Linked DNA regions of Drosophila melanogaster. The protein of the gene in region 1 interacts with the protein of each later gene in a pairwise test. Each region holds a gene or a part of one and is shown on either strand. Other genes may lie near its edges.

What was found. The genes of interacting proteins can lie anywhere in the genome.
Region 2: the proteins of uri (region 1) and CG12521 interact in a two-hybrid assay, tested with the Drosophila melanogaster proteins (one large-scale study listed by BioGRID).

What each region holds. Positions count from the first base shown.
Region 1 is NT_033778.4:24,562,542-24,570,584, reverse strand, and holds uri (unconventional prefoldin RPB5 interactor), read right to left. Parts: upstream 5,032-8,043; 5' UTR 5,000-5,031; coding exon 4,970-4,999; intron 4,900-4,969; coding exon 4,601-4,899; intron 4,545-4,600; coding exon 3,146-4,544; intron 3,094-3,145; coding exon 2,626-3,093; 3' UTR 2,503-2,625; downstream 1-2,502. Other genes in the region: Fcp1 (TFIIF-interacting CTD phosphatase), read left to right, coding at 1-150, 232-413, 476-1,645, 1,716-1,925, 1,983-2,125; CG11414 (uncharacterized protein), read right to left, coding at 5,809-6,006, 6,075-6,272, 6,340-7,558, 7,616-8,043. UniProt on the Drosophila melanogaster protein: Inhibits the activity of serine/threonine-protein phosphatases flw/PP1beta9C and Pp1-87B. Required for germ line cell viability and differentiation, normal transcriptional activity and maintenance of DNA integrity.
Region 2 is NT_037436.4:11,846,883-11,851,370, reverse strand, and holds CG12521 (uncharacterized protein), read left to right. Parts: upstream 1-3,567; 5' UTR 3,568-3,656; coding exon 3,657-3,857; 3' UTR 3,858-3,988; downstream 3,989-4,488.

The DNA of each region.
Region 1 (8,043 bases):
GCTGTACGAACTGCACATTTGCACTTTTGGTGCGCGTAACTACGCGCACATGATTGCCCAGCTGCTGGACCCGGAGGGCAAGTTCTTCTCGCACAGGATTCTGTCCAGAGACGAGTGTTTCAACGCCACCAGCAAGACGGACAATTTAAAGTGCGTTTCTATACCTGAAAGCTGTTTGGATTTTCACTTGTTAAACGTGTTAAACAATAATCTACAAATTGTATATTACAGGGCTCTGTTTCCGAATGGCGATTCCATGGTGTGCATCATTGACGATCGCGAGGATGTGTGGAACATGGCTTCAAATTTGATTCAGGTTAAGCCCTACCACTTCTTTCAACACACTGGTGACATCAATGCCCCGCCGGGTTTGTCTAAGCATGAACTGGATGGCGAAGGCGTTGACTTTAAAGGTGGGTTGGGTGTTCCAGCAAGCTGACTTGAATGTTTCTAACGATATTTCCATTTGTTGCAGAGATTACCGAGAAGCATGGGGACAAAGATAAGACGGAATCCAGCAGCGAAGTCAAACCAGAAGACACCGATAAGGGTGATAATACCGTCACAAGCACAAGCAAAGATGACGATGTAAACGAGGAGTCAGTAGACGTGTTCGAAATAGAGGGCGATGCCAAGGATCCAGAGGTTTCCAACGCCTCAAGCGCTACAGAAGCACCCAAAGAGCCGAGAGACAAATTGAATGGCAAGACTAATGCTGAGGATATTGTGGTCATAGACGACAGCTCATCTGGCTCACCAGATGCTGAAAAAGCAGCCAGCGATGGCGAAGACGTAGTAGTTATTGATGATAATTCCAAGGAGAGCACAAAAGCCGAGGTGCCCCCCACACCGGCAGAAAAGAATGAGGTTGTAGCCTCATCCACCACTTCGCCGGATGAGAAGCGCCCGTCTGCTGACGCTGATGTGGCCACCACGTCTAAGACGCCCAGCTTACGAGCACCGCTCGAGGGGCAAAAGCAGATAGAGATTGAAGACCCCGACGATTACCTGCTGTATCTAGAGGTCATACTTCGTAACATTCACAAGCGATTCTACTCTATTTACGACGAAACCACGGAAATACCCGATCTAAAGGTTATCGTTCCGAAGATTCGGAGCGAAGTGCTGCGCGGCAAGAACCTGGTGTTCTCCGGCCTGGTGCCCACGCAGATGAAGCTCGAGCAGTCGCGGGCGTATTTCATAGCCAAGAGCCTGGGCGCCGAAGTGAAGCCCAATATTGACAAGGAGATAACGCATCTAGTGGCGGTCAACGCAGGCACCTACAAGGTTAACGCCGCCAAAAAAGAGCCTGCCATTAAAGTGGTCAATGCGAATTGGTTGTGGACCTGCGCCGAGCGCTGGGAGCACGTGGAGGAGAAGCTCTTTCCACTGGACCGCAAGGTACGCAACAAGGGTCGCCAGCCACCCGCCCATTGCCATAGTCCCGAGCACGTGGTTAACTACAGCGAGCGTTCGGAGATCTCACCCTCGAGCAGCAAGCAGCAGGAGGAGCAGAGCGGCAACTTCCGCGAAACGCTGAATCCGCTGCTGGTCTTCACCAACGCAGATATCGAGTCTATGAATAAGGACTACGAAACATTCTTCGAGTCAGACTCGTCCAGCGACGAGGGTCCTGTAAATTTTGGTAGGTATTTTACTTATTAATCCATGTGTCTGTATCCACGTTTAATCGAATACGTCTTTAATAACTCAAGAAAATCCACCAATGGACAAGAAGCTGTTGAAGAGAAAGCGCGAAGATGATAATTCCAACAGAGCTCACGACTTTTTCACGCGAAGCGATGATATAATGATTGGAGCGCCAAACCTCGTGGAGGTGGACATTAGCTCGAACGAGGAGGCCGATGACAATAACGAGAAGGAGGACGATGACGATGAGATGCCCAGCGCCAAGTTTAGGCGAGGTAGCCCGTCCGCACAAAACTTGTGTTAACCTTTTAATATTTGCATCAATGTTCCAGGGGAAGACCTGCCTTCCGACCTGGAGCTTGGATCCGAGTCCAACAGCGAGAAGGAACCGGAGGACGAGGACGACGGCGAATGGAACATGATGGGCGCCGCTCTAGAAAGGGAGTTCCTCGGCCTGGAGGACTTTGACATGTAGAAATTCTGTAGCATCTGTGAACACCAGACAGGGCCATGAGACCCCGCGTTGGAGGCATCCCTGCATCCTGCTGGCCAGACACTCAAGACATATTTGATTCTCGGTAGACCATGATTGAACACAATGGAATGGGCTGTGTCCTTGAGTAGAGCGTCCAACTACACTTATGCTTAGGGTTCGTACTGTATGTATTAGCTGTTAATATGTACTTTAGAATAGCCTGTAAGATAGCGCACACGTGCGGGCGGCCAGGTCCTTCAATCGCGTACATTCTTGAATCAAAAACTCTCATTCTGATCTAATGTAAATTGAAGCCTACTGTAAATGTAAATGTTTTAAAAATAAATTCCGTTTCAGCGGACTAGTACCTAGTGTTTAATTTTAAAACGAATGTACACCACACCAGTAGTTGTTTATTGTTTGCGTTGTGTTTGTAATACAAATTCACATTAAACTTGAACAAATATACTAGTAATATCCAGCTGAAGTTTTACTCTTCGCTACGTTTTGTTAAGGGCTCGCTGCTCCTTGAAGCGGCTAACCCGCTTCTTTGGCGCATGCGAGTCGATGAACTTGCCCGGTGGCAGAGGCTCCGGTGCAGTCGGCTCCTTCTCCACAAGATCATGCATGACCTTTTGGTAGGCGCTCATGTCGCGCAGGTCATCGTCTAGGGTGCGCTCCTTCTTCTTTTGATTCCGGACCTTCCTGCCCTTCTTGGGCTGCTGGTTGACATTATGCGGCTCCAGGTCCACAGCAGATTTGTTTCGTAGGATCGATTTGGTCGCTGATTCAGGGTCAGTAGCGTCGCCCTCCGAGGAATTGGACTTGGAGAACTTCGCTCGGTCCTTCTCATACTTCTCATAGAAATCAAATGGATTTCCAGGTATATCATCACTTTGATCATTACTGGTCGGAGTTATGGAGCCGGAATGTGTGAAACATATTTCCGAAGAATTGGGCTTGGAGAACTGCAAGGCCAGGACGTTAGCTTATGATCTGATCGAACTAACATGATCTTACCTGACTTCTGGGATCTTCATAGGCTGATCCACGTGCAGCTTCGCTCATTATGGGAACTTTAACGTGCTCCTCGCCTTCAAAGCCGTTCACATAGATAGGAAACGAATCATTAGGCCGCGCCCGGTCCTTCTCATACCTCACATAGAAATCAGAGGGCTTTCCAGGTATGCCATCGCTTTGATCACTACTGGGCGAAGGTATGGCACCGGAATGTGTGAAACTTATGTGTAAAGTGTTTATGAGTCCCGTAGACTCTTCCATAATTCGATTGAGTAAATCGAAGTCCTGGACACTCTGGTTTTCCTTGACAAACTCAATGTTTCGTTCTACTTTTTGCAAGATATCCTGGGTTGTTTGACGTTTTGTTTTAATGGATGCGGGTTGTGGATCTCCTGCCGGTTTAAGAGGTGCATTTAGCTTGATGATATCCCTCGAGTTCTTTTTCGCATTGGGCAACATTTCGGCAACGGTCTCCTCCCTTCTGAATTCAAGTTTTTCGTCGTCGAGGGCAAACGAAATGCGACGTTTATTTGTGCTGGATTCAGATACAGTCGAAAGCTCTTTGCTTGGCTCATCTGGAAGATGATTGTTTTCGACAACCTCCTCCTCTTCCTCGCTGGCCTCCAGTTCCTGCTCAAATACCAAGTCCTGTAGGTCGTCCTCTAGCATGACCACCACATTCATCAAGTGAATCAGCTCATCGCTTATAAAGTTGACCTTTTGTATCTTCCTCATTTTTGCTTTAAGTACATGCAGTTGAGCTCTGAGGAACGGCTCACGATCTTCGTTGGGTAGCAGCGACATCTGCTCCCGTATGGTTCGCACCTCTTCCTCCTGGTCACCCTCATCATCATCATCACCATCATCTTCCGATATGGGATCCTGTATTTCCACGTTTCTATTGGTTCCTGCAGTGCGTTTTTTGGAAGATGGAGTTTCTGTTTCTCCGGACATGAGCTGGCGCACTAGGTTATCCGTTGTTTTAAGGCTTTCTTCTGCTTCTGAGCTGAGCTCATCGGCTTCGTTCTGCTCCTCGGCTTCCAGCTTCTTCCACAGCTCATCCTCCTCTTCCTGGGTTAAGGATTTAGGACTACTTTCGTTGGTGGATTTCAGAGGTTCTTGATTCAGCATATCGTGCAGCTGATCCTCGTCGATATTATCTGGATCTAGACCAAGTTCCTCCATCATTTCTCGCTCTTCTAGCTTCCGCAGCACTTCATTATCTTTCTTCACAGGTTCCGCCTCCCGTTCGAGGCGCTCCTTCTGCTTTTGCTGTCGCATTCGCTTTCTGTGCTCCGCCAACCACTTGTTGTGAGACTCCTCGTTGAAATCCTCCACAATTTCTACTTGGTCGCCACTGGGAACCGCCCCCTCCGCAAATGGAGTGTGGAGTTTTTTCCTGTTGGAGGAGCGTAAACATTACTCTTCCCTACTTCTATTTACTGATACACTTACTGCCACAGATCGTTCTCCACGGCCAGCTTCTTCAGCTGCTCCTCGGCCAGCTTCAGGCGGTACTGGCAGATCTCCTTGGCCTTGTGGGAGGAGCAGGCGGAGAAGTAGCCCTCGTAATGACCCACCAGAAGCTCGTTGGTGTGGATCAGCTCGCCGGGCATCAGCGCCTTCCGTCCAATGGGCACCATAACCTCCACGCTGAGATTCTTTGCGAACTTGTCCAAGTTCCGGATGGTGCTCTCATTATCGCGCTTGAAGGCTTCCCAGCGCTCTGTCTCGCTGGCGTTCGTTTGGAGGGCCTGTCGTACAGGGTTCCATAAAGTAATTACCCCAGTTTCTCCATTCATATATGGTAATTAATAACATTACCTGTAGCAGAGCATCCTCTCGCCGGTCCATTGTTATTGTTGTTTGCGACTTTAGTGTGACCGTAGGTCTATCCAAAAAAAATAATCTTCAGTAATGCATTTTCATATAAATAATTATAGTAACATTATAACCAGTAATTAATATGGATTCAGACATTTATGTGTTACGTAATAAAAACTTAATACAAAACAGTGTTAGTTAAATTTGATTTATTTAAAAATGTACTAACGCGAGTCTGCGCGCCTTTATAGATTTCTACCTTCATAATAATTCTATGTAGAAAAATGGAGAATGAGCTTTTCTCGAATTTCATATTCGACAAAAGCTCTACTTTTCCTCAAATCAGAAAACTCAACTACCAAGCATCGCTCCCCAGCTAGCAAACCACGTAGATAAGAGCAGAAGAGCTCCATATGTCCGATAATAAATCTGCTCCATACGACCCAACAACTACAACCAATTTCCATTTGGTGATAACCAATTTGCGACCACCATATGTGGACATTAGATAGGGCGACAGGTTAGGCAAACATACCAGGTGATTACGACTAATAATTGTGATTGATTTGAACTTTATTAGGTTGCGGGCATTTGCTAGACACAAGCTCACTCGTAAATATTAGAAACGCATCCAAGATAAGCTTCTGTCCGGACTAAGTCACATTGAACAGATGGCTTCGTGGGTCGCGCTACATGGACTGATGGGTTCGGCTAGTTCTTTTTCGGGTTTCCACTCACAACATGATCTGGGGACATGGTTCCTAGATGGTTGACACGGTATATATGTACATAGAAAATATACAGGGATAAAGCTTTTGTTGTCCTACAATCCGACCACCTCAATTGCGGTGCGTGTTAGAGGCTGAGCTTCCGAGTACGGGGAAGTTTTTGGTCAGCTCATGCGCCTGCTGGTGGCTCTTTAAGTCGGCGGTGATGAGGATCTGTTTGCACACCTTGCAAACTTCAAGCGCGGGCACGGATTTGCGCTCGGCGGGCGGCAAGCTGTTCAGGTGTTGTTTGTGCACTAGGTAAAGTTCCTGGAAATGGCGCAAATAATGGAGTTACTCTTTATTTACTATTATGTGGTTTTGCAAACGGGTCTTACCTGTTGCTTACTTATGTCCGGCAGCATGGCCAGCAGCTCCGGGAACAGGTTGTAAAATGAGCTCAACATGGCGCACTGGCAGTGCTCGTAATAGGCTTGGCCAGAACAGGATCCGTCGCGGAACTTAGACGAAAGCAAGCGGAATTCGTTCAACGCCTCTGGGGTCTTGAGCAGGGACATAACCTCATCAACCAATTTCTGGACGCAAGACAAATGCTTTTTAAGTTAATGTTTTCTAACTAATTGGCAAACGACGTTAGCTTACCTGATTCCTGACCTCGGTATCTGGTGGATCGGTGTACGTATAGGGGCTGGGTACAATGTCATACGACTCGCCCAGCGAATTGGTGAACGTGAGATTGTTGGGCAGCTTGGCCACCGAGTTAACAGTCACGTTGGACACGAATCCTGGTGGTGGCTTTAGCGGTCCGCCAGGTTTTAAGCCGGGAGGAGCACGTATTGGCGTAGACGGAGCCCCATTGGTTTTTTGTTCGTTGTTATTATTTCTCTCCTTCGGTTTGGCCGTCTTAGGCTGATTCTCCTGGTTGCTCTTTTTATCCTTCTGCTTTTTATCCTTTTTATTTGCCTGCTGCTCTTGAACATTGTTGTTGCTTGCCTTGGGAGCAGGTTTCGATGTTGGACTCGGCAGAACCGGGGCCGGCGCCACTTTGGCCTTGCGATTCTCCAGCTCACGCTGCTTCTTCTCATTAGCTGGTTTCGACCAGTTCAATGAAGGAGATCCACTGCTGGGCTTTGGAGCAGTCGTCCTGCTTGAGCTGGCGCTGGCACTCGGTCCGAGGCTAGGGAATTCCGCCGCAGTGAGTTTGGGAGCACTCTTCTTCAAAGCCTCCTGGCGCGCTTTGGCCTCGTCCTCCTCCTTTTGTACCATTTGAAGCTTTTGAAAGGTGCTCGGGCTAGCCACTGACACGTAGTCATCGGCTAGAGACCGATGCTTAGCGGAGATGTTCGCCATCGGCACTGGCGATCCGCTAGGCAGCATATCCTCCTCCAGGTTGCGCAGATTCTTCTTGTTCCCCTTACCCGGTAATGCAGGAAAGTCTACCTGCGGCGTGGCTGCCTTTTTGGGCACGGCTGCTGATCGATTTGACACATGCAGGAGCATTCCGTTACCGGGAGGCCCACTTCGACTGCCAGAACCTGCCGCGCTTGTGGGTTTCTTAAAGACAGCTGCCACGGGGTGCTGCGATTGAGCAGCCCGGGCGGCAATGCTGCTGCTAGTGGGCCCAGTAACACCACCTCCATTTCCTCCTCCCAGAGCCGGGAAGTTTTCTTTGGTCCGAGCAAGACCAGAAGTTCCACTAAGATTGCGCATCGAGGGCGGTGGCGGTCTCACCAAGGATACGCTGGGAGCTGTGGAAGCGCCTCTCAATGTGGGAAACTGTTCCTCGTTGCCAGCATCAATGCTCACATGGCGCTGGGTGATCGAAGGCAAATCGTTCTGGTAGTCGTTGTGCTCGTCATTCCTGTAAGGTTTACCATTCTAAGAGTGCCTTCTTCAAATTGGATGGCCGCTCACTCACCTGGTTCTCACGCTGGTTATGCCCTGCTCCGTCTGCCCACTACGGCCACGAGGCCCCAAAGTGATCTCCACCTGCAAGGTGCGCGTCTGCTTGGCCTGCTGCTTGTTGAGCGACTTGCCGTGCACGTTGGCCACGTGCGCCTTGTACTCGATTTCGTTGCGGAATGCGCCGACAAACTGCTCGGTGGCGCACTTACCCTCCTCGCAGAGAAAGTGCTCCGCCCGGAAATGTTCCGCCAGATCCGCATAGTCATTGTAGAACTCATTGCAACCATCGGCGTCGCAAAAGTGGCAGAAGTAGTGCTCGCGGCGCAAATGACGGAACAACTCATCACGGTCCACATAGCGTTTATTGCAGTATTCGCACAACGGATGACCGCGATGCGACCGATTGTCCGGATCGCCCTTGGTGTTGTGTAGCTGCAGCTC
Region 2 (4,488 bases), on another chromosome or scaffold:
ATTCAATATTTCATTATTTTCTTTGGGAATGAGAAACACATATTGATAAAGCCAATTGGAAATTCGTTAAAGAAGCCAATATGTACATAAACTAGATCCTTTGTGCTGCCATCACTTGCCCCCTCTGGTCGAAAAGTGAACGAAGAACTGTCGTGGCGAACCTCGTGAATAAATAGTGTGTACTCGTAATTTACTTCCATAGGTTGCATTGATAGGCGTATGAATAAATAATAATAATAAATGTACTAGTATTTAGCCCATAATTGTTTGCAGCTATACTTATTTGGTGTTGTGGCAATGCATAATTTATGCACAATGCGGATACTTATTGATGTTGCTGTACCATGGGGCGTATGCGCGACGCAGCGAGCACCGAACCGCAAACCGAAATCGTTCTTGGCTTGCCTGTGACTGTATTATATATGTAGGGCACACATCAATGATTCACGCAAATTATCGCAATTAAGCGCAATATATTTAATCACAAACATCACACATACATAAATACAAACGAATACTTGTATTAATCATCGAAACGAATTAATTGCAGCAGTTGGCATTTATGCCAGGATCATAGGGTCAAACAACATACAAAACTGTAAGCAACGCCAGCAATTCAATTAAAATGAGATTTTTCACCCTGGCTGCATGTGAATCCATCTGAATATCTGTATTAGGTTAGTTAACAAAACACAAATGAAAAATCGGAAAAACAAAATCAAAAAACGAAATGTTGTTCGTGTATGCATAGCTACATATATACATATATACCACTCGAAAAAAAAAAACGCAAAATAAAAGTAAAATGCAGCAGAAGCAATGCGTGCACTCGAATAGAACGACACGCATTTCCATAAAAATAAACCGGAAATAAAAGAAAAATTCTACAAAAATACATTTTGTTTTTCATTCCTATTTTGGGCTGGTTGTGTGCAATTTATAAGCGTGTGAATACATTAAAACAGATTCAACTTTTTGAGGTATTCTACCAGTCATGAACGTAATTTTGTTAGGTCAGAATTTAATGAAATTAAATATGTAATTAATTTCGCAATATCAAATAACAGTCTTACCATGTATTCTAACCATATACTATCTTTTATGCTCAAGCGATCAAAACCTTTGGATACTTTAGTTTTTATAAGTACTTGCATGTAAATGGAATGAAGACTAAGTTCCGGAATGTCGACCTCAGCTTAGCTATACCAGTAGTACAAACACACGCGAGTCCTTATACAATCGCAGAGTCTGGGGAACATAAAAAACGTTAAGTGGTCGTAAATCAAAATTGTTCAAGAATGGGAAAGTTCGCAAAGTTCCTCTTGCCTTTACTACTTTGCGACAACACGGAGTCCTTTTGCCAATTCGGTCTTATTGTTCTCTTCCCTGGTATTTATTTTCAGATACTCTTAGGCCAAAAAAAAGGAACTCCCAAAGGATCCGGAAATTGGCGACGAGAAGCAGCGTCCTTGCTGTGGGCAACTGCCAATCCAATTTCGTGCATTTGCAGTCCATTGAGTTTCGCTTAAATTTTAATGAAACTAAGCGCCCACCATACAAATAGGAAGCGACACCACCAAGTTTTAATATTCTTGGTTTTTTTTTTAAATTTTTTTATTTTTTTGCTTTTTGTTTAAAAGGTTCTGTTTTGATTGCTTCTGCTTGGCTGTGGACCCCAATCCGCTGGGCTTTTGTTCAATTTGTACAGTTTTCGAAGTCTTAATAGAGTCACTAATTGTTCTGCACAGACATGGTGGTTGGTGGATGAAGCTTGGCTCTTTCAGAAGTCCCACGAGAATGCACGAGTATTGTCTGCGAAAAATGCTTAGAATGGAAGTTATGGGTTAGAATGTGGCATTAATAAGGAAGCCACCTCATTTACCGGTTAAATTAGACTGCAAAATAAAATTTAATTTGTTTATTTAATTCGCTATAATCGAAAATGGTTGTGGTTTTTCGGTCTGCAATGCTAGTTGATTTATTTTAACTCTAATATTTAGATGAAATATTTGCAGCAGCTCTAAGAAGTAAAGTCAAGGGCTCGTAACTTTTGGACATCATCATAACTGCGTTAACGGTTACATTGGCCATTAAAAGTAATTGCCCAATTTCACGGCGTAAACAGCCACGACAATCCATCCACTGGCAGTTGGGAGGCTGTTAAAAGAGAATGGACGTCCCCCAGGCGAAAATTAAGAACTGACCGTTAAGGAGACGAGCACGGCCTGGCATCGCATTCTCATTAACACGCCAGTCCGGTTTCAATTTCCTGTTTCATTTTTCTGTTCATTATAAATGGCTCTCAACATGGCCGGCCAGTCAGTTGAGCCGCCAACTCCGGACCGCAGAAGCAAAAAGCCATAAAGAATGTGCCACGACAACTGCGACAAGTTGATGGACAAAATAATGCCTGATGACATTTATAATGAGCGGAATTTTTTGTTGATTTTCGCCCCTGTTGTTAGTGTTGCAGTTGATAAGTGGAAACTCGCTTCATGTGACCGAAATTTGCGCTACATAGCAGCATAAAATGTGTGCTCTAAATATACCCCAACACCCAACATTCTCAGTCGTTTTATTAAGTATTAATATTAGCATTAGTAGAAGCTTAAATCGTAGATAAAGTATCTGATCCGAATGGAACGCTTCCTTTACAAGGTCAAAGGTGAAGGTTTATTTAAAATGAAATGATAATACTGAATCTGCTTTTTGTACATGAAGAGTTCTCCCTAGATAGATATGATTAATTAGATATATTCGTTTTTTCACGGTAGCTCAACACGTTAAAAATCGAGTTCACTAATTTTAACGAAATTTATATGGCTCAATAGATTTTTTTATGTATTTTTGATGTTTGATCCTTACACCATTTGAATCTGTGATGGGCACAAATGATGAGTCCCAGTCATCTTTCTTCTCTTCTTATCTGCCGTATTCATAAGAAGATGTCGTTCTTACCGCCTTATTGTCTGTGTACCCATTATGGTTTAAATTATATATATTATATATATATATATATATACAGATATATACAGATTCTAGAGACATAGACGCAGCGCTATTTTTTTGACCCATATAGCCACGCCCAAACTTTTGTCAAATTTTTCCCTCATATTATTATTTTTTTTACCGATATCACAAAACATATTACAATTTTTCGTTCACAGTCCCAGCTGAGTAACGGTTATCTAATAGTCTCGTTTTCTTATTATCAACTGAGCAAGTCTCCGACTTGCGAGTAATTTGCATACGAAATTTACATATCTGCAGTCCCCACCCACAACGCCATGAACCATCCTATTCCGGCGTATTGATGTATCGCAACCAAAAATGCAGCACAGCATGGGTGTCGAAGGCAGCAACAAAGGGTGAAACAGAATGGACGGTGACCAACTGACAAGTGACACTTTTCCAATTGAAATTCCCCCTCACCCAGCAACTGCACAACTCCACTGGAAAAACCCGACAAGCAGTGTGCATACATATACGTACATACAATACATACATATGTACATTCAAAGTAGTCCACGATGGTCATGTCAGCCGAGATGTCATAAATTTGCACGGGCACAAAGATCGAATATTCCAAATTGAGCTCTGGCGTTTTGTATTTTGTTTTTTTGAAATTTTCAAATACTGCCGGCTAAGGAAGCACAATGGATGGCTGCCACAACGACATCTTGGCGCCCCTCATCCTGGCCATTATGGTGGCCAATGGACACCCGCTCACCCTGGACGAGATCGTCGATGAACTGACGGCGGTGATCAATTCGCAAACCGAGCTCGCCATTGCGCATGAAAATATTGGAGACGGAAAACATAGCCACAAGTCGTATAAGCCGAGACGAAGGCACTAAGGATCTTAACATGCGTTATGTGCCAAATTTAAAATGCAATAACTTATTCGAGATTTGAGTGAATTTAATCTCTTGAACTATAATTTATAATAAACTGATCGTGTCGGCGGCGACACTTATTTCCGTCCGTGAGTGAAATAGTTATTTAATAAATTTCGAAACAAATGTGCTTAAAAGTGATTAAATACACATTGTACATTATTTCAAGACGGACATATGAAAACTATGCACATGTATGTTGTTTTAAGCTCAAATATCATTAGGGGAAAAGTAAATATTCATAACTGAAAAGAAAATACTTGCTACAGATTGACAATTTATCATTTATTTTAAAGCTACGAGTATTTTTTCATCCTGTTCATTGCCCTCAAGCATCTCAAATTACTGGCTGTAGCAAAGCAACTCTGCATACATTTTTCTGCCTTGATGGGATGTACATATGTATGTATGTACGTACATATATTTTCGTAGGTGGTGGTGCGCGAAGCAGCAGCACGTGTGCAAAATCTACGGACAGAGCGAGTTAAAAGTTTTTCAGCGTCGCGAAAAATTGTTTATGTTTCGCCTTAAAAGGAGCAGGGAAAAATTTCGAATATGTAAAGATGTGTGTGGATTGCTGGAGAAACTACGA